Linked DNA regions of Mus musculus. The protein of the gene in region 3 interacts with the protein of the main gene of each other region in a pairwise test. Links are inferred from orthologs where the notes say so. Each region holds a gene or a part of one and is shown on either strand. Other genes may lie near its edges.

The links. The genes of interacting proteins can lie anywhere in the genome.
Region 1: the proteins of Wwp2 (region 3) and Fam189a2 interact in binary tests that used the Homo sapiens proteins (3 or more experiments, as listed by UniProt). The link is inferred for Mus musculus from reciprocal best matches to the Homo sapiens genes WWP2 and ENTREP1.
Region 2: the proteins of Wwp2 (region 3) and Ankrd44 interact in binary tests that used the Homo sapiens proteins (3 or more experiments, as listed by UniProt). The two-hybrid records come from large-scale screens. The link is inferred for Mus musculus from reciprocal best matches to the Homo sapiens genes WWP2 and ANKRD44.

The regions. Positions count from the first base shown.
Region 1 is NC_000085.6:23,978,098-23,983,068, forward strand, and holds part of Fam189a2 (protein FAM189A2), read right to left. Parts: intron 1,619-4,971; coding exon 1,489-1,618; intron 1,372-1,488; coding exon 1,293-1,371; intron 18-1,292; coding exon 1-17. UniProt on the Homo sapiens protein: Functions as an activator of the E3 ubiquitin protein ligase ITCH in the ubiquitination of the CXCL12-activated CXCR4 receptor. Thereby, triggers CXCR4 endocytosis and desensitization, negatively regulating the CXCL12/CXCR4 signaling pathway.
Region 2 is NC_000067.6:54,659,966-54,664,936, forward strand, and holds part of Ankrd44 (serine/threonine-protein phosphatase 6 regulatory ankyrin repeat subunit B), read right to left. Parts: intron 4,022-4,971; coding exon 3,934-4,021; intron 2,807-3,933; coding exon 2,689-2,806; intron 1,253-2,688; coding exon 1,036-1,252; intron 1-1,035. UniProt on the Homo sapiens protein: Putative regulatory subunit of protein phosphatase 6 (PP6) that may be involved in the recognition of phosphoprotein substrates.
Region 3 is NC_000074.6:107,434,592-107,440,137, reverse strand, and holds the start of Wwp2 (NEDD4-like E3 ubiquitin-protein ligase WWP2), read right to left. Parts: upstream 3,769-5,546; 5' UTR 3,697-3,768; intron 989-3,696; exon of another isoform or gene 553-988; intron 1-552. UniProt on the Homo sapiens protein: E3 ubiquitin-protein ligase which accepts ubiquitin from an E2 ubiquitin-conjugating enzyme in the form of a thioester and then directly transfers the ubiquitin to targeted substrates.

The DNA.
Region 1 (4,971 bases), on a different chromosome or scaffold from region 3:
GTTAGTAAGAGCCCCACCTGATTTAAAATAAAATAAAAAACACAGTATTTCAACAGCTGTAGCCATCAAAATGTTGGTCAGGAAACACCTGTAGGCCCAAACCTGCCAAGGCAAGAGTACTGTAATTAATAACATTTACTTAGGCTGGTGGCCCAGTCAGTTTTTAGTTCCCAGCACCATGGCAAAGCCTCCCTCTCCAAATCACCCTGCCACACTTAAAACAAGCAAACAAGAAAAATGATAAGCCCAGGGGGCAAAAGTAAGAGACTGTGCCATAGCATCAGTTTGGTTTGTTTCCTAGGGTTGTTTAGACATCCTGATGCCGCCTCCAAGAGTAGCAAAGCTTTTCACAGTATCTGGCTCTTCAGGGAAATGCCACCTATGTGGGCAAAGGGCTATCCTGTGAACTGCCAAGCCAAGGCTAGCAGATGCACATCTGCCTAGCCCAGGGGGTGCCCACATTGGGACACTTTCAGTGGCTGCAAAATAAATCTGCAAATGACACTGGAATAGGACGAGCCCTGGCCAGGAAACGTAGCAGCAGCGTCTGGAAAGCCGAGTTTCTGATTGGAAAATTCCTCGTGGAAAAACAAATGTGCTTAAGGGAAGAGAACAATGTTTTATAATCCTTTTTAGGGTAGGTGGGGCTTGGAGCTCAGTGGCGGGGCTCACAGTCTGTCCCCTTCCAAATGTAAAGTGAATTCAAGAATGGCCCACATAGCACTGCTGAAAAGCTACCCCCATCCGACATGGCGGAAAGTCGATCCATTATTTAGTGCCAGCTGCAATTTTGTACCAGTGGACAATTCTCTAGGCCATTTAAAACCTCCCCAAAGACAGAAAGCGGGAACAACAGTGTCCTTAAATTACAAGGATAAATGTAAAATGACTCTAGCATGGACCACAGGGCTGAAAAAAAAAATCTTAATTCTAGCATTAAAACCTTTGGTTACAAATGACAATGTGAATACTCACTGGGAAACTCACGTTCGTTCGAAGGAATCCTGCTCATTTCAACAGATCAAGGAAATGGATTGGGAGCCAGGGGAATAACGAGTTAACCTGCACTCTAGCCCATGGGTTCCTGGGGATAGTCTGATCATTCATGAAAAAGTTTGAAGTAGGTCTCTTTATTTCAGTGTGTTTTTTTCTTTTTTCCTGTTAACATTTTAGATCTCACTTCTAAGCCCTAAGAGTTTGAATACCTTACCTCCAGCAAAACACTAGTCAGATCATTCTGCCATGTTCTCCTCTATTGACCTATGGCCTGGCGTAGGGAAGGTGTGTGTTACCTTGAGTTATCTGCGTGCAAACTGGCTCTGCTGGGCTCGCAGCAGTTTCTGGTCCTTCTGGCATTTGGAATGAAGACTCCTGCATCAGAAAGGAAGGGAGAAGGAGGGGTCATTGTTTTTGGTTTTTGATCCTCAGAGGACCCCCGTAAACCCCTTCAGGTTATGTTAGAGCATATACTCTGGGGAGTAGGCATACCTGCTCCTGGTCAGTCTGGCTCACTACAGCTTCGTATGGAGGTGGGGGGTCCAGAGGACAGAACACTTCCACACCCTTGATGCGTGCTCCATAGATATGGGGCAGTGGGATGACATCAGAACCAACCATCCTAGAAAAAGCACCGGGTGTCAGGAGGTGCGCTCTGTACACTGGCCCTCCTACAGCAGCAGACCCTGGACCCTCTGCCTTTGCCTTTAAATTGGGAGTGGCCTGGACCTAGAGGAAAGACACTCACAGAAGCTCAGCCAAAGAGGAATAACTATTCAAGCTATCCTTAGGCAAATACCCAGGGGGTCCTTTAGAAATGACAGTGTATAAAACGTAATGCCCTTTTTTCCTTTTAGTACAGCAGTGTCCATGGGGATGGAGAGCATGGGTGGCTGCCAGGCTCTGAGGGAGGGGCTAGGGAGGGGTTGCTTAGTGTTTATGGACTTGGCAGTTGCTTACGGGAGAGGATAATGCTTTGCAGAGAGTTAGAGGTGATGGTTGCACAATGAGGTGGATATACAAAATACCACTGAAGCATATCGCTAACAACAGCCAAGGCAACTAAGGGTAAGGAGAATCTTGGTGCCCTCCTGCAGTCGTTCACAGAAAAAGCTTCTTGCCTCGGTTTCCTTCACGTCTGATTCGTGAGAGAAATTCACTGTTGGATAACTTTTTTTAAAAGGGGAAATTAATTTCAAACAAAAGGTGAGCATTGCCCCCAGCTCCAAGACAAAACAGGAGCTAGCAGAAAGGATCATAGAGTGACTCGCACATGCTCCTCAGGTCACTCCCTGACTAATGATGCACTGGGCCAGGTGGGTGGCACTGGATAAAATTCAGAAACAAGAGTCCTAGTAAGAACAAAGAAAGAGGTGGGTTAACATTCTATTTTTCTCTGAACTTGATGTGACAAACCTGGCTGAGTTGACAAAAAAGATCTGCGTCCATTTGGAATATTGATACCTCACTCCCAACAACAAAGCTATAGCTAACCGATAGTTTCAGCAGAGAAACTTTAAAAGAGTCTCGCTATTACCAAGATGCAGAGAGGCTGACTTGACAGTTACTCTGTCATGTGACTGGGACTGAAGAACCAGCTGCTGTTTTCCTGGTTAAAGCTAACTTCTCCTGGGGCTCCTCTTCCTCCCTCAACCATTCCTGCTGATGTCAGCTATTTCTACTCTGTTCTTCACACACACCCACTTCTGTTGCTCCACCACGGGATATGTGGGGTTCCTGAGACTGTACCATCTGCCACACTCAGCAACATAAGTATATGATGTCTCTGCCTTAGCACAGAACTACTCAATTATACTCCTCCTTTCCAAATTGCCTTTCTCCCAACCAACGTTAGATGCTTTCCCTTTTCAAGTACTTCTTAAGTAATAGTTTTTGTTGTTGTTAGAGAGGGTTTGATGTCCCAGTGCTTACAGATAAGCACCAGAAAACCAGACATTTTAAACATGAAAGGTTGTCTCTTCAAAGGAACTGATGCAGAACCCGTTTTTCCCACCGAGAAGGCTAGAAATGAATTTGGTTAGTAGCCTGGATGCCTTCTGCACTATCTGTATGACCACACCTGATCCTCCTCCAAGTCCTTAAGATAACATATGTAGTCTGTCTATAAATCCCAGTTTCCAGGGCTAAAGAGATGACTCATGGGTTAAGAGCACTGCCTGTTCTTTCAGAGGTTCTGAGTTCAATTTCCAGTAATCACATGGTATCCCAGAATCATCTACAATGAAATCCAATGCCCTCTTCTACCATGTAGGCAGACACGCAGATAGAGCACTTACATGCATAGACTACATAAATAAACTTTAACAAAAGAACCCATCTTTATGGAAGAAGTGGCACATACGTTAAGAGTTTCAATGCAATTCAATCCCTTAAGCTTTATTGTATACACAGAATTATGTTACACCAGAAAACTTTTCTATATTGTGCTAAACTTAAACCAAAAAACTTAAACTAAACTTGAACCAACACTGGCTACTGAGTCATATTGAACAGGACTTCTTTTTTGGCTCATGAGGATCTACAGTCTGATGGCCATAGTGTTTCCAGAGACAACACACACACACACACACATTGTTGTTGTTGTTGTTGTTGTTGTGTTGTTGTTGTTGTTGTTTTAACTGTGGTTGTAGGACCCTTGACAGAAAAATTAAAAGGAAAACCAAACTCACAAGATTCCCTGCCAGTATTTATCGCATATAATAAAAAGAAGAAAAGACATTAGAAAACACAGAACTGAAATTTTAAAGTAATTAAAAAAGCAAAAGGTAAAACAAAACAGAGAACCCTGTGCTCAGTAGGTACTAGATGACCCATAGCAATGTCTCTTCTTTAAAAAAAAATAAAATAAAATTCTCTTCTTAGAATATGAAGAAAAGAAAAGAGGGAAGCTTACAGATAAAAAGACAGACCCAAGGCCAGATGCATCTAAGCGACTGAAGGGGAGAGGCAGAAACTGGATTTAAAACTCATCTTATTTCTTGTGCCCATTTATGCTCCCCTGAAAGGATAGAGGCGAGGTTTTATACTGGCACATGACTTTGGATGTTCCCCAGAGTGGCTGTGTAAAGTGTCAAGCATCCAGTGCACAAAGAAGTCCCATGAAAACACTCTCCCTGGTCTAGAGGGTTCCTGTCAAAGCTGCCCTAAGTAGATATTCTCCATAGAACAAGGACTCAGGCATGGATTTCGTTCCAACTCTCCTACCTAGCTCATGCTGTTTAAAAACTCCCACTGCTGAGTGACTCCAAAGGACTAGACCCTTCCTAGATTTAGTGGGAGAGTCCTGACCAATGAACATCACAGCTGTCTGAATCAGAGAGGCCAACTTTCTCCAGATATGGTGAGGCTTCAGTCTTTAATCAACACCCATGAGTCATCTTTCTAGCATTTCTAAACCCTGCCTTTGCCCCTTCAGCAAAGAAAGAGAATAGCTGAATCCCTTGCCTATTGCTAGTTCTGCTTGCCTGCCTGCTCCCTGACATTCCCAACCCATGGCTATCTTTGCACCCACAGAGGTGTGGCATTCACAATAACCCATGGCTATCTTTGCATCCACGGAGGTAAGCATCAGATTTCCAAGGATGAAAAGGTCAGGAGAGTGGGCTCTCATCTTAGATGCTAAACTACCACAAAATCTCTTCCAGAAGGAAACCCAGAAATTGAACATGGCATTTTCCATAGCATGATCACAAAATGAATGACTCCTACGATGTCATTATGTCATTATGATGACCACTGATGCTGCATTTCAATGGACAGCACCAAAGGAAAGTCCATGTAAGTTACTTCTTATCACACATCACCTAGGCATATATAAGCTTATGGAGACTGTGGTGGTTGAACGAGGAATGCCTGCCATAGGCTTATATGCCTGAATGCTTAGTCATCAGGAGTGGCACTACTTGGGAGGGATAGAGTGGGTGTGTCACTGGGGGTGGGCTTTAAGGTTTCGAG
Region 2 (4,971 bases), on a different chromosome or scaffold from region 3:
ACAATCACACTGGGCTGGCAAAGTTGTAGCAAAAATACTTTTATCACATTAGGGCAACCTTTTGTACAAAATATTATTCCTTAAAATTCTAAAAACATGCCTTTTATTTAAAAAATTCACTTCTGGATATTTAATGAGATTTTCATGTTATAATATGAATATGCACTGCTACAGTGTTTATGGTAGGAAAGAAACCCTAAAATTAACCTAAAAGTCCATCAGAGGGGGATCGGGTTGAATAAGCAAGTTCTAAGGAATGTGCATGCACGTGAATGTATGTGTGTGAGTGTGCATGCAGGTGTGCATGTGTGTAGCTATCAGTATATTACTATTAAAACTATGTATTGTGCATATGGTATCTAAGGATAGCCTGCAGTAGGATTTTAAGGGAGCACTAAGAAAAAAGGAAGAAAACTATGGGATGAGACTTGTGGTATAATTCCACTTAAAGAATATGCATATTTTTTATTTATAATCTCAGAGGAAAAATTATGAGACATGCATACAATTAGCACACATTTCTCTTTTGTTCCAAATAACTGAGATAAAAAATTTGAATATTCCAAGTAGCACACACAACAAAGCAAATGTGGAATGTGGATATTAAAAAAAAATACCAAAATCTAAACTACACATCTACTAGCGTTTATGAGTGACTCTACTGTATGTGAACTATACTGTATGCTGTTTTGTTTTTACCGTCATTGTTTTAATACTTCATGTGGTTCCTGGTTATCTGGTGCAGATCAGAAACTCTGATTACAGTTGCTCAAGTCCATTGGCGACTCTGATGAGGTGTCACAGGAAGAGGGAAACAAACTAAACCTTACTCAGCATCATGACAGCCACAGGGGTGGGGATGAGGGATGTTTAAAACAACATAAGACAGACACCAGTGTCTGGGTGCAGACACCAGTAACCACAGCATACAGCAGTGTTCTCACCTCCACTGAGGTCACAGAGGTGCGAGGCTAGAAAGTCTAGTATATGACATTCTACTCAGATGACATTCGACTCAGATGACATTCGACTCACCATTGTAACACGCCCAGTGCAGTGGCGTGTATCCCTGGTTGTCTTTGAGACAGCAGTCTTCTTCAGAAAGGGCAATCTGGAGCAATTCATTCAGCCATGTGGCGTGGCCCCGAGCAGCCGCATAGTGCAAGGGTGTCCTCCCTCTGGAATCTTTACAGAGGATTGATGCTTCTTGTTCCAGCAGCATTTGCACACATTCCTCATGTCCTGTCATAATCTGGCATGTTGCAATTAAAATGCAAGACAAAGCTCAGTTGTCTGGGGATAGAATTGTTGAGAGTAGAAGGCTTCCCCCACCTGGCCTAAGAGGTAGGAGGCAGAACAACCCTAGCAAAAATCCTTACCAGAAAAGCCCAGGAGAAGTATTTTGGAGCTCTCTCTCCAAACATAACTACGGATGGTATCATGATACCTTAGAAAATACTAGCTTCAGAATCAAGGAGGAATATGTTAAATCCTGGTTGTCCACCCCTGTCAGACACAAGTGAGTCGGCCTTTCTCTGACTCAGTATACTCACTATGAGAAGGCAGAGAAACAATGACCTCAGAGGTTGCCCAGTACTAAAGAGACAACACACTTACATTGTGCAGCGGGCACGGGGATGCATTCTGGGAATATCTCAGAGAGTCTGTACACAATGCTAGAAAGCACAGCCTATTCCCCTCTTAGGCTGCCCAAGAGAGCTGTTAAGCCTAAGCTAACATGCACAACACATTACCCTAATGGACATCATGGGGTCACAAGGGTTTGTGTATCTAAACAGCAAAGGTGCAGTAAAAGTTACACAAGAAAGGAATCGTCTTCAGCTCCATTCTAACCGTATGAGATCACTGCTGTATGCACAGGCTATCACTGACAGACATATATATGTGATGTCCCCTAGACTGCTGCATGGCCCAAAAGAAGTGCAAAGAAACCAGAACTGTGATTATGTTGATAATCATGGAAAATACTTTTAGTCACCAGCTAGGGTGCTTACATCACTTCTACATAGCAATTTTATAATTTTTACCTTTGTCTAGTTAGCCTATTTTTTTTTGTCCTTCAAAAATTAAATCAGCAGATGTGTAAAAAGACTTGGCCACAGGACACATAGATTGTCATCGTTTGCTGCTCCAAGCAACAGATATAGTGTGAATGTTCAACACCACTGAATTCATTCTGGCAGCTGCACACATGAGTATTATAAATTCTGCATACAAAATTATACAGAAGAATATTTTACGCCACGGAGAACGGTCCTTTATCTATACTAAGAAAAAGAGAGGCCACGGTGTGTGTCTGCGCATGCTCGTGCATATGTGTATTAAATGTGATTATCTCCAGGAAGTATGATTGCTGGTGATTTTGATTTTCTTTTTCTGTATGTAAAAAATTCACTTTGCAAATTTTCTACACTTTGCATTTTGTAATCAGAAAGGAGAGCGAACCCCTCCAACAGTAGGTATCACAGTCCAACACAAACTCCTAAGAGCAGGGCCAAACTGTAGCTTTCATTTGTGTCATTGTATAAAATTCTGTAATTTTGTTTTGACTGTGAAGCTAATTGGATATATTATGAAACATCTTTTCCCCTAAAGCTTCACACAGAGAACACTGAAGCAAGCTCATTGAGGAGGTAACCTAACTGAAGCAGAGGAAGATGGACATACCCCTCTATGTAAAGCCGTGCATCCCACTATGTCGACCGCATCTACGTTTGCTTCCTTTTCAAGTAACAATGAAACAGCATCAATGTGTCCATATGCTACTGCAAGCATCAGCGGGGTTCTAGGAGAGAGAAATTGGTATTTTAAAAGGAGATTTAAAACAAAACAAAACAAAACAAAACAAAAACAAAACTAATTCCAGTGAGAGAAGAGGTCTCTTTCTATCAAAAATTTCCCAGTATTTCCTATGTTTCTAACTCGCTACTCCATGTCATGTAGAACAAGCCACATGGAATGTTGGCTAACATATAGGGCAGTCACATTACTTCTAACATTTTCAAAGGCCATGTGGCGACCACTCCATGCCAGCCGGCTGGGGCTCGGCTGGGGCGTGTGCACACGCAGAAGAGCCTCTTGCCTCTGTCACAGCCTCTGCTGTCCTAGCAATCAATGTTGGTCTCTGCTCAAGATCTGCCTGGATGGACAGAGCTTCCATGCTTTGAAGCCAAGTCTGGCCAGTGTAGAAGAAAGACCAGGGCCCTGCTCTAGCTGTCACTCAAGCTCCTGTGCCTGGGGACAGACCTAGAGCCTTTCTGTCTGCACTTCCTATTTGTAAGAAAAGCCCGGGCGAAGACTAGGCCAACAGATAGAAACTGAAAACAAACTCAAGAGAAGATATAAATCTGAAGGAATTCTTTATTATTTCCAGGACAGAAACCAACTCTCCAGGTCTGCCATTTTGCTATTATTAGAAAGTGGGTAAGTGGTAGGTAGCTTTAAATGTCAAAGGTAGAGCCGGGTGTGGTGACGCATGCCTTTAATCTCAGCACTCAGGAGGCAGAGGCAGGCAGATTTCTGAGTTCGAGGCCAGCCTGGTCTACAGAGTGAGTGCCAGGCCAGCCAGGGCTACACAGAGAAACCCTGTCTTGAAAAACAAAAACAGAAACAAAAACAAAAACAAATGTCAGAGGTAGGAAGAAAGAGGAAATACTAACGACTGGGAAGCATGGCTAGAGCAGGGATAAAAAGGCGCTCACTGTCAATAAGACGCGCACACTGAGTGCTTTCTTCCCTTTAGTACAGGCTCTGGTGGCGGGCCACACCTCGGGGTTCTAGGCTCCTGACCCATGAGTTTCACAGAGAGGTGCTATCCTAGAACTCAGCACTCATCCCTATCCACTACTCAACAAGCCAACCAAGCTGCTCCTGTGACTGATCATAGCAGAAGGCCAACATGAAAACACTTACTGTCCCTTGGCATCTTTCACATCAACCACTTCCGGATTGTCTGCTGTTTCAAGTAGTAGCCTCAAACACAGTGTGTGACCATTAATAACTGAAAAAGAAAATGACAGAGATTTTTTTTTTTTTTACATAAATCAACATGGCAGGTTCTCTCTCCCAAGCGAAGTTTGTGGACAAGTCAGTTATTTCTCACGGCTGCTAATGGACTGTCCTGGCTTCCAGTTCAAGATGGCCCAGGTGGCTCAGGGAAACCCTGTATCCCCCCTTTCTTTTTATCCATACACTTCCATCTTTGCCTTCCCCTTTCTGTTTTCGGAATTTTTTAAGCTCACTGTCCTTTCTTATCTCCCTGTAGAGGGCTGGTAAGTGTCCCCGCCTGCTGTCAGTCCACTCTACTTCCATATAACCATCCTGTGTCTAGCCCATCTCCAGCTCTTTCTAAAAAAGGAGAAGAGAATAGGGATGAGAGGAAGAGAGAGAGAGAGAGAGAGAGAGAGAGAGAGAGAGAGAGAGAGAGAGAGAGAGAGAAACAGAGTGGTGACCACTCTTGTAGATCAGTGAAGTCTAAGTTCCATATTCCACCTACAGTTCTCATTGGTTAGTGGCGGCTGAACATAGAACACCAAAGCAGAAGAGTGAGCATAGCCTGGGTGGTCCCTCTTTACCAGCACGGGAGCTCTGTGGTGGTGGTGATCCTCAAACTGCAGCCTTGCCCTTGCAGGGTCTTAAGAGTGCTGCAGCAGGTGCAGTTGCTGTCCCTTCTCTTCCTGCTGGGTGAGGACCCAGAGATCTTCAGGTCCCTCATTAGGGCTGCTGAGCCTTACCTGCCCCAGCTACCCCGCAGTAGGCAGGAAGTGTCCTGTAACCCCAATGCCGTCTCTGCCTCATGGGGCTGAGGGCGAGTACCAGGGTGTGTGTGCCCTGTGCATAACTGAATGTGCTCCTTTAGGAGGTGGGGCCCCAAAACGGATGCTGGGAAGCAGATCTCATGGGGTGGATGGTAAACTCCTCCTCTATGATAAAGCATGTCCCCTGGTGTCC
Region 3 (5,546 bases):
GTTCTACATATTCATCTTACGGCTGCTAGTGGAAGACTGGCTCCTAGGCAGCTAGGATAAGGGTATTACAGCTCATGCCAACAGTGACACACCTACTCCAACAAGGCCACACCTCCTAATAGTGCCACTCCCTGGGCCAAGCATATACAAACCATCACACCCTCCATCTCAGACTTTCCAGCCTCCATTCCCAAGACCAACTTCTTCAGTTTATAAATTACCCTGCAATGGGATGAGACTGTACACAAGTATAGAGCAAGCAGGGTTTTCTCAGCATTATCAGTTACACTGTACAATTATAATTTTTTCTCTTATCCTATTCTATTTTTTCTACGTCTTTCTTTCTCTTTCTTCCTTCCTTCCTCCCTTTTTCTTTCTTTCTTTCCTTCCTTCCTTCATTTCTTTCTTCCTCTTTTCATAACCCAAGCTATAGCTGAACATTTGAACTCCCAGTAATCCTCCTGCCTCTGCCTCCCAAGTGTTTGGATTACAGGCACTTATACCCAACCTAATAGCATATTTTTAAAAATATTTTAAGATGAAACTTTTTTTCTCTTTCGAGTCTTGGCTCCAAGATGACCAAAAAAAGAAGAAACAACGGTCGTGCCAAAAAGGGCCGCGGCCATGTGCAGCCCATTCGCTGCACGAACTGCGCCCGGTGCGTGCCCAAGGATAAGGCCATCAAGAAGTTTGTCATTCGGAACATTGTAGAAGCCGCTGCTGTCAGGGACATATCTGAAGCAAGCGTCTTCGACGCCTACGTGCTTCCCAAGCTCTATGTCAAGCTGCATTATTGCGTGAGCTGTGCCATCCATAGCAAGGTTGTTAGGAATCGATCCCGCGAAGCCCGGAAGGACCGAACACCCCCACCACGATTCAGACCTGCTGGCGCTGCACCTCGACCTCCACCAAAGCCCATGTAAAGAGGCCGTTTTGTAAGGACAGAAGGAAAACTACCCTGGAAAAATAAAATGGAAGTTGTACTTTAAAAAAAAAAAAAAAAAAAAAAAAGAAACTTTTTATCGCTTCTATGAATTAAAAGTAATAGGTCTAAGAAGAACAGACCTAGGTTATAGAGAAAGTGGCTCATTGGGTAAAGGTGACTGCCAGCAAGCCTGACAACTGGAACTCAGTTCCCAGGACCCATAGAAGGAGAGAGCCAACTCTTGCATTTATTTACTAGTTCCAGAATCTAATATCAGGACTTCAGTAAGCCTCAGTTCTTCATCTGTGAATGAAGCAATGCAACCTTCAGAGATCTGGAAATGAATGAGACGAGACGCTGAGCCAGGCACAATGGTGAATGAAGGCCTGCGACCCCAGGTCTTGGAAGGTAGAGAATCTATCGTAAGTTCCTCCACAACATAACCAGTTTGAGGCCAGCCTGGGCTAAAACCTACCTTCTATCAAAAAGCTAAAAGACCCTGTCTCAGAGAGAAAGGGAGGGGAGGGGGGAGAAGGGAGGGGAGGGGACTGGCTGGACCGGACAGGGAGAGAGGTTGAGCATAGTAAATAGCGCACAGCTTTAATCCCAGCACTTGGGAGGTAGAAACAGCTGGATCTTTATGAGTTCTAGGCCAGCCAGGTCTACACAGTAAAACTTTTGTCTCAAATAAATAACCAAAATAAAAATAAATGAGAATCTGGTATCAGTTCTTTGCAGATGGGGATGTAGTCACTAAATGAAAGACTAAGATAGACCTGGTGGTATTGGCCTCAAATCCTAACTACTGTTGTGTTGGAGGCAGAAGGATCACAAGTTCAAGGCCTGCCTGAGCTACAGGAGTTTGAGGCCACCCCAGGCAACTTACTGAGAGCCTGTCTCAAAAGGAAAAAAATAAAATAAAAAATTACAAAAAGAAGGGAAGTGGGAAGGTGCAATGTTCAACAACAACAAAAAATTAAGAGACTGACAAGCCAACTGAAGCCTTCTCCTCATGGTTCTGGCTTTCCATAGACCAGTAACACTAAACAGAGAAAGGGACGGGAAACTTATGCTCTAACCCCTTGTTCTCCACATACACCGAGCAGTGTGACCTTTAAAAACTCATTTACTTCTCAAACACTGACCAAGTACTCCTAACATACCAGGCCTGGGGCTAGTAGCCAAAGAAGTCAGGTAAAATAAGATCACTGCCCTTGAATGATTTACAGTCCTAGCAGGAAGACAGTAAACAAGGAAGAAAAACAAAATGAGGATGTCAGGCAGGCTGAGACTAAAGAGATGCAGGCGAAAGCACTCACTGCTCTTCCACGGGACCAAAGGTCAGTTCCCAGCATGCAAATCCAGAGGCTCACAACCACCTGTATCTCTAGCTCCAAAGGACCCAATGCTCTGTCTGTCCTTGGTGGGCACATACACACAGGAACATACACACAAATAAAAATACATCTTTTATTTTAAGTCAATTCTCTTAGCTTGTTATCTATAAAGTGTGAATGACTTCTCGAGACTGCTACAAAAATTAACTTTTAAATGCTTATAATATACCCCCCAAGTCTTCAACTCCTAATATATTAATGCAAAGTGCTTTTTCCCCCCTAGCGACCTGTGATTCTGGCTCCTGTCAATGTCCCATTTGAACCCTGACCTTCGTTGCATTCATAAACTTTGCTTCACTTCTGCAAACCTTAGCAAAAGTGAAGGGAAAAGAGGGTGGCCTGTTTGTTTATTTAGGCTGGCTTGGAACTTGGAGCCATCTTCAGGCCTAGGCCTAGAGGATGAAGAATCTTAAGATGGGTATTTTTAACCTCAAAAACTACGATCTAGGTCACAGTTCTAAGGAACACAAGAGAAACTTCTCAGTCACCCCACCTAGTCACAGCTGGTCAAGATAAGCAGTCACATGGTAAAGGAAGCTGCATAATTTAAGCTTGAGAGGTCTCAAATCGGTATGGGCAGACTTTCAACTGTCCATGACTTCAGCAGTCAATGCGTTGCTGAGGTAACGCCGGCCCAGGTCGCCAACAACAGTGTAGGTTAAAAGTCTTGTTATGATCACAGCAAAGCACCTACACGTCTTTTTTTTTTTTTTTTTTTTTTTTTTTTTGGTGGCCTCCAAGATGACCCGATCCGGGAGCATCTCAAAGAAAGACGATCTGATGGGCAAGGTTCCCAACAAGTGGAAACCCTACCCAAACAGGGCAAAGTGGGTGTGACCAGAGTCAGACGATCAAGACTCAGGGATCCCTCCTGAAGTTTAAAGAACTGAACAGAACCGGTATCAAAGTCCCGGATCGCCATCCTTTTTAAAGAGGACGGAAGGAAAAAAGACTCTTGGAATGGGGTCCAGGCCGCATCGTCCAGATTTTTTTCTCCCTGTCCCTACAAGCCAGACGCCCACTCCCAGGCAGCCCCTTCCAGGGAGCAAATGAGTCTTCCCCGGCTGAGGTCGGGCCCCCTTCCCAGACAGACACGGCTCCTCCGCACCGCAGGCACCCGGGGCTGGGGGTCTCCTTCCGGAAGCGCCACCAGCGGGCGACTCCCGCCGGGCCCCGCGCCCACCCCGCCCGGGCGCGAGCCGGGACATCCCTCCTCGGAGGCCGGAACCGCGCGCCAGGCCCCTCCCACAGGAAGCCGCCGCCCCCCGGCGCCCGCCCCGCGCCGCCCCCGGCCCCTCGCGCCGCCCGCCGCCCCCTGGCTGCCCCGCGCCGCCCGCTCGCTGCCGAGCCCCCCAGTGCCCCCGCGCCACCTACCTGCCGCGGCCACACCAGCGGCGCCTAACTCCGCTCCACTTCCGCCTTCCAGCGCCCGCACTCGGGCCGGGTCACGTGGGCGTGCGCGGTCACCTGACCCGGAAGAGGCTGGCCGGGGCGCGCAGGTGCGGACCACCTAGGACCCGGGCGGCGAGCGTTTGACCCGCTCAGGGCCGGGATTGCAAGGATCACCCGGGCTGTGCCCGAGCAAACGTATAAAATAAGGGCTCACCGGGCCCCGGGGTCTTTATGTATGCCTTTGGAAGCAAGTACAGTTGTTTTCCCGCCATGGTACAGGTGGGAGAAGACCATCCGATCAGTTAAGTCAAGTCTTGAAGGAGTTGCTGGATAAAAAACAGTACGCTCCCCCCCTCCAAACTTGAGTGTCAGATAAACCGTGTAACTCTAAGCATGTCCCCAAATTTGCAAAGGATGTTTTGGTACCACAGATGTATACTGATCAAACTTGAGCATCCCATGTAATGTCGTTAGCTTGTGCCAACTCTGTAAGGCCTTGTTCTCAGTTCTAGAAGTATAAATGCCCTGGCCTTTGTAAGGCATCTGTTGTTCCAAGAAGCAAAACTGGAAAGAGGGACGGGAGTGGAGCATGGGACATGACACACGACAACCTGACACCCTTTCAAAACTTCCGGAGTCCCTACGTGTCTTCCCCATGGGGAACCAACTCCCATCCCCCCCCCCCCGCTCCCCTCCCCTACGGAGTAAACTGAACATTATGAATTAACAAACAGGGAATCTATGTAAGTAACCCTGGCTGACCTGGAACCCAGCGCTGTCCTTGGCCACCTGATTCCTGGCATTGTAGACATACCTCACCGTAGCCTGGACAACAGAAACTTTCTGGGTTTTGCAAGATTGACAGTTGAACGTGACTAGTCCAGGGCGTCCCAACTGACCTATGTTCCCAGCCATTTTGCTTCCTTTCTGGTTTTTATTTGGAACAGGGTCTTATTTTAAATGCTCCAACTGGCCAAGAACTTTTAATTCCATTGCCTTAGCTTCTGAGTAGTTAGGATTACCAGTTTATACCATTGGGGTGGAGGGTTAGGGGTGAGAGAGGAGACAGGTGGGGCAAGATTTTATGTAACCTAGGCTGGCATCCACCACCGAGTTAATTGTTCTGATTACCTGGATTTTTGTTGGGTTTTTGTTAACTGAAATATTACATTTTCATTTGTATTTTATTACATAGATGTTTCTCTTGAAGTGTATCTGTGTACCACCTGTGTGTCCGGTGTCTTTGCTGTGGGGTATCTACCAAGAGAAAGTCTTTATTAGCCACCCTGTGACTACACTGGGTGTTCAGGATCCCTGTGTAGTATCAAGCCTTTCTCGGGGCGAGGTTTTAAGCGCAAAATTCGCGTCCTGGGTCGACATGCTCCAGTTAGCAGAAACAGCAACAGAACTACAGAAGCCAAAAGGCGAGATGAATGCATCTAGAGACTTTCCCAGAACTGGGGACTTTGGTGGATTATGTCTCTGTTTTCTTTCTTTCTCTCTTTCTTTCTTTAAGATTTTATTTATTTATTATTATAAGTACACTGTAGCTGTCTTCAGACACACCAGAAGAGGGCGCCAGATTCCATTATGGGTGGTTGTGAGCCACCATGTGGTTGCTAGAATTTGAACTCAGGACCTTCGGAAGAACAGTCAGTGCTCTTACCCGCTGAGCCATCTCACCTGCCCCCCCCCCCCCCCCCCCGTCTCTGTTTTCATGTTGGCAGGTGGTGCTGTCTGTGTGCTGAGTTTTATGGCCACAGTGGTACTTCCATCATGGAGTCAGTTCGTAGTGAATGAGTCAAGTCATGGACTCACCCTACTCTGAAGAG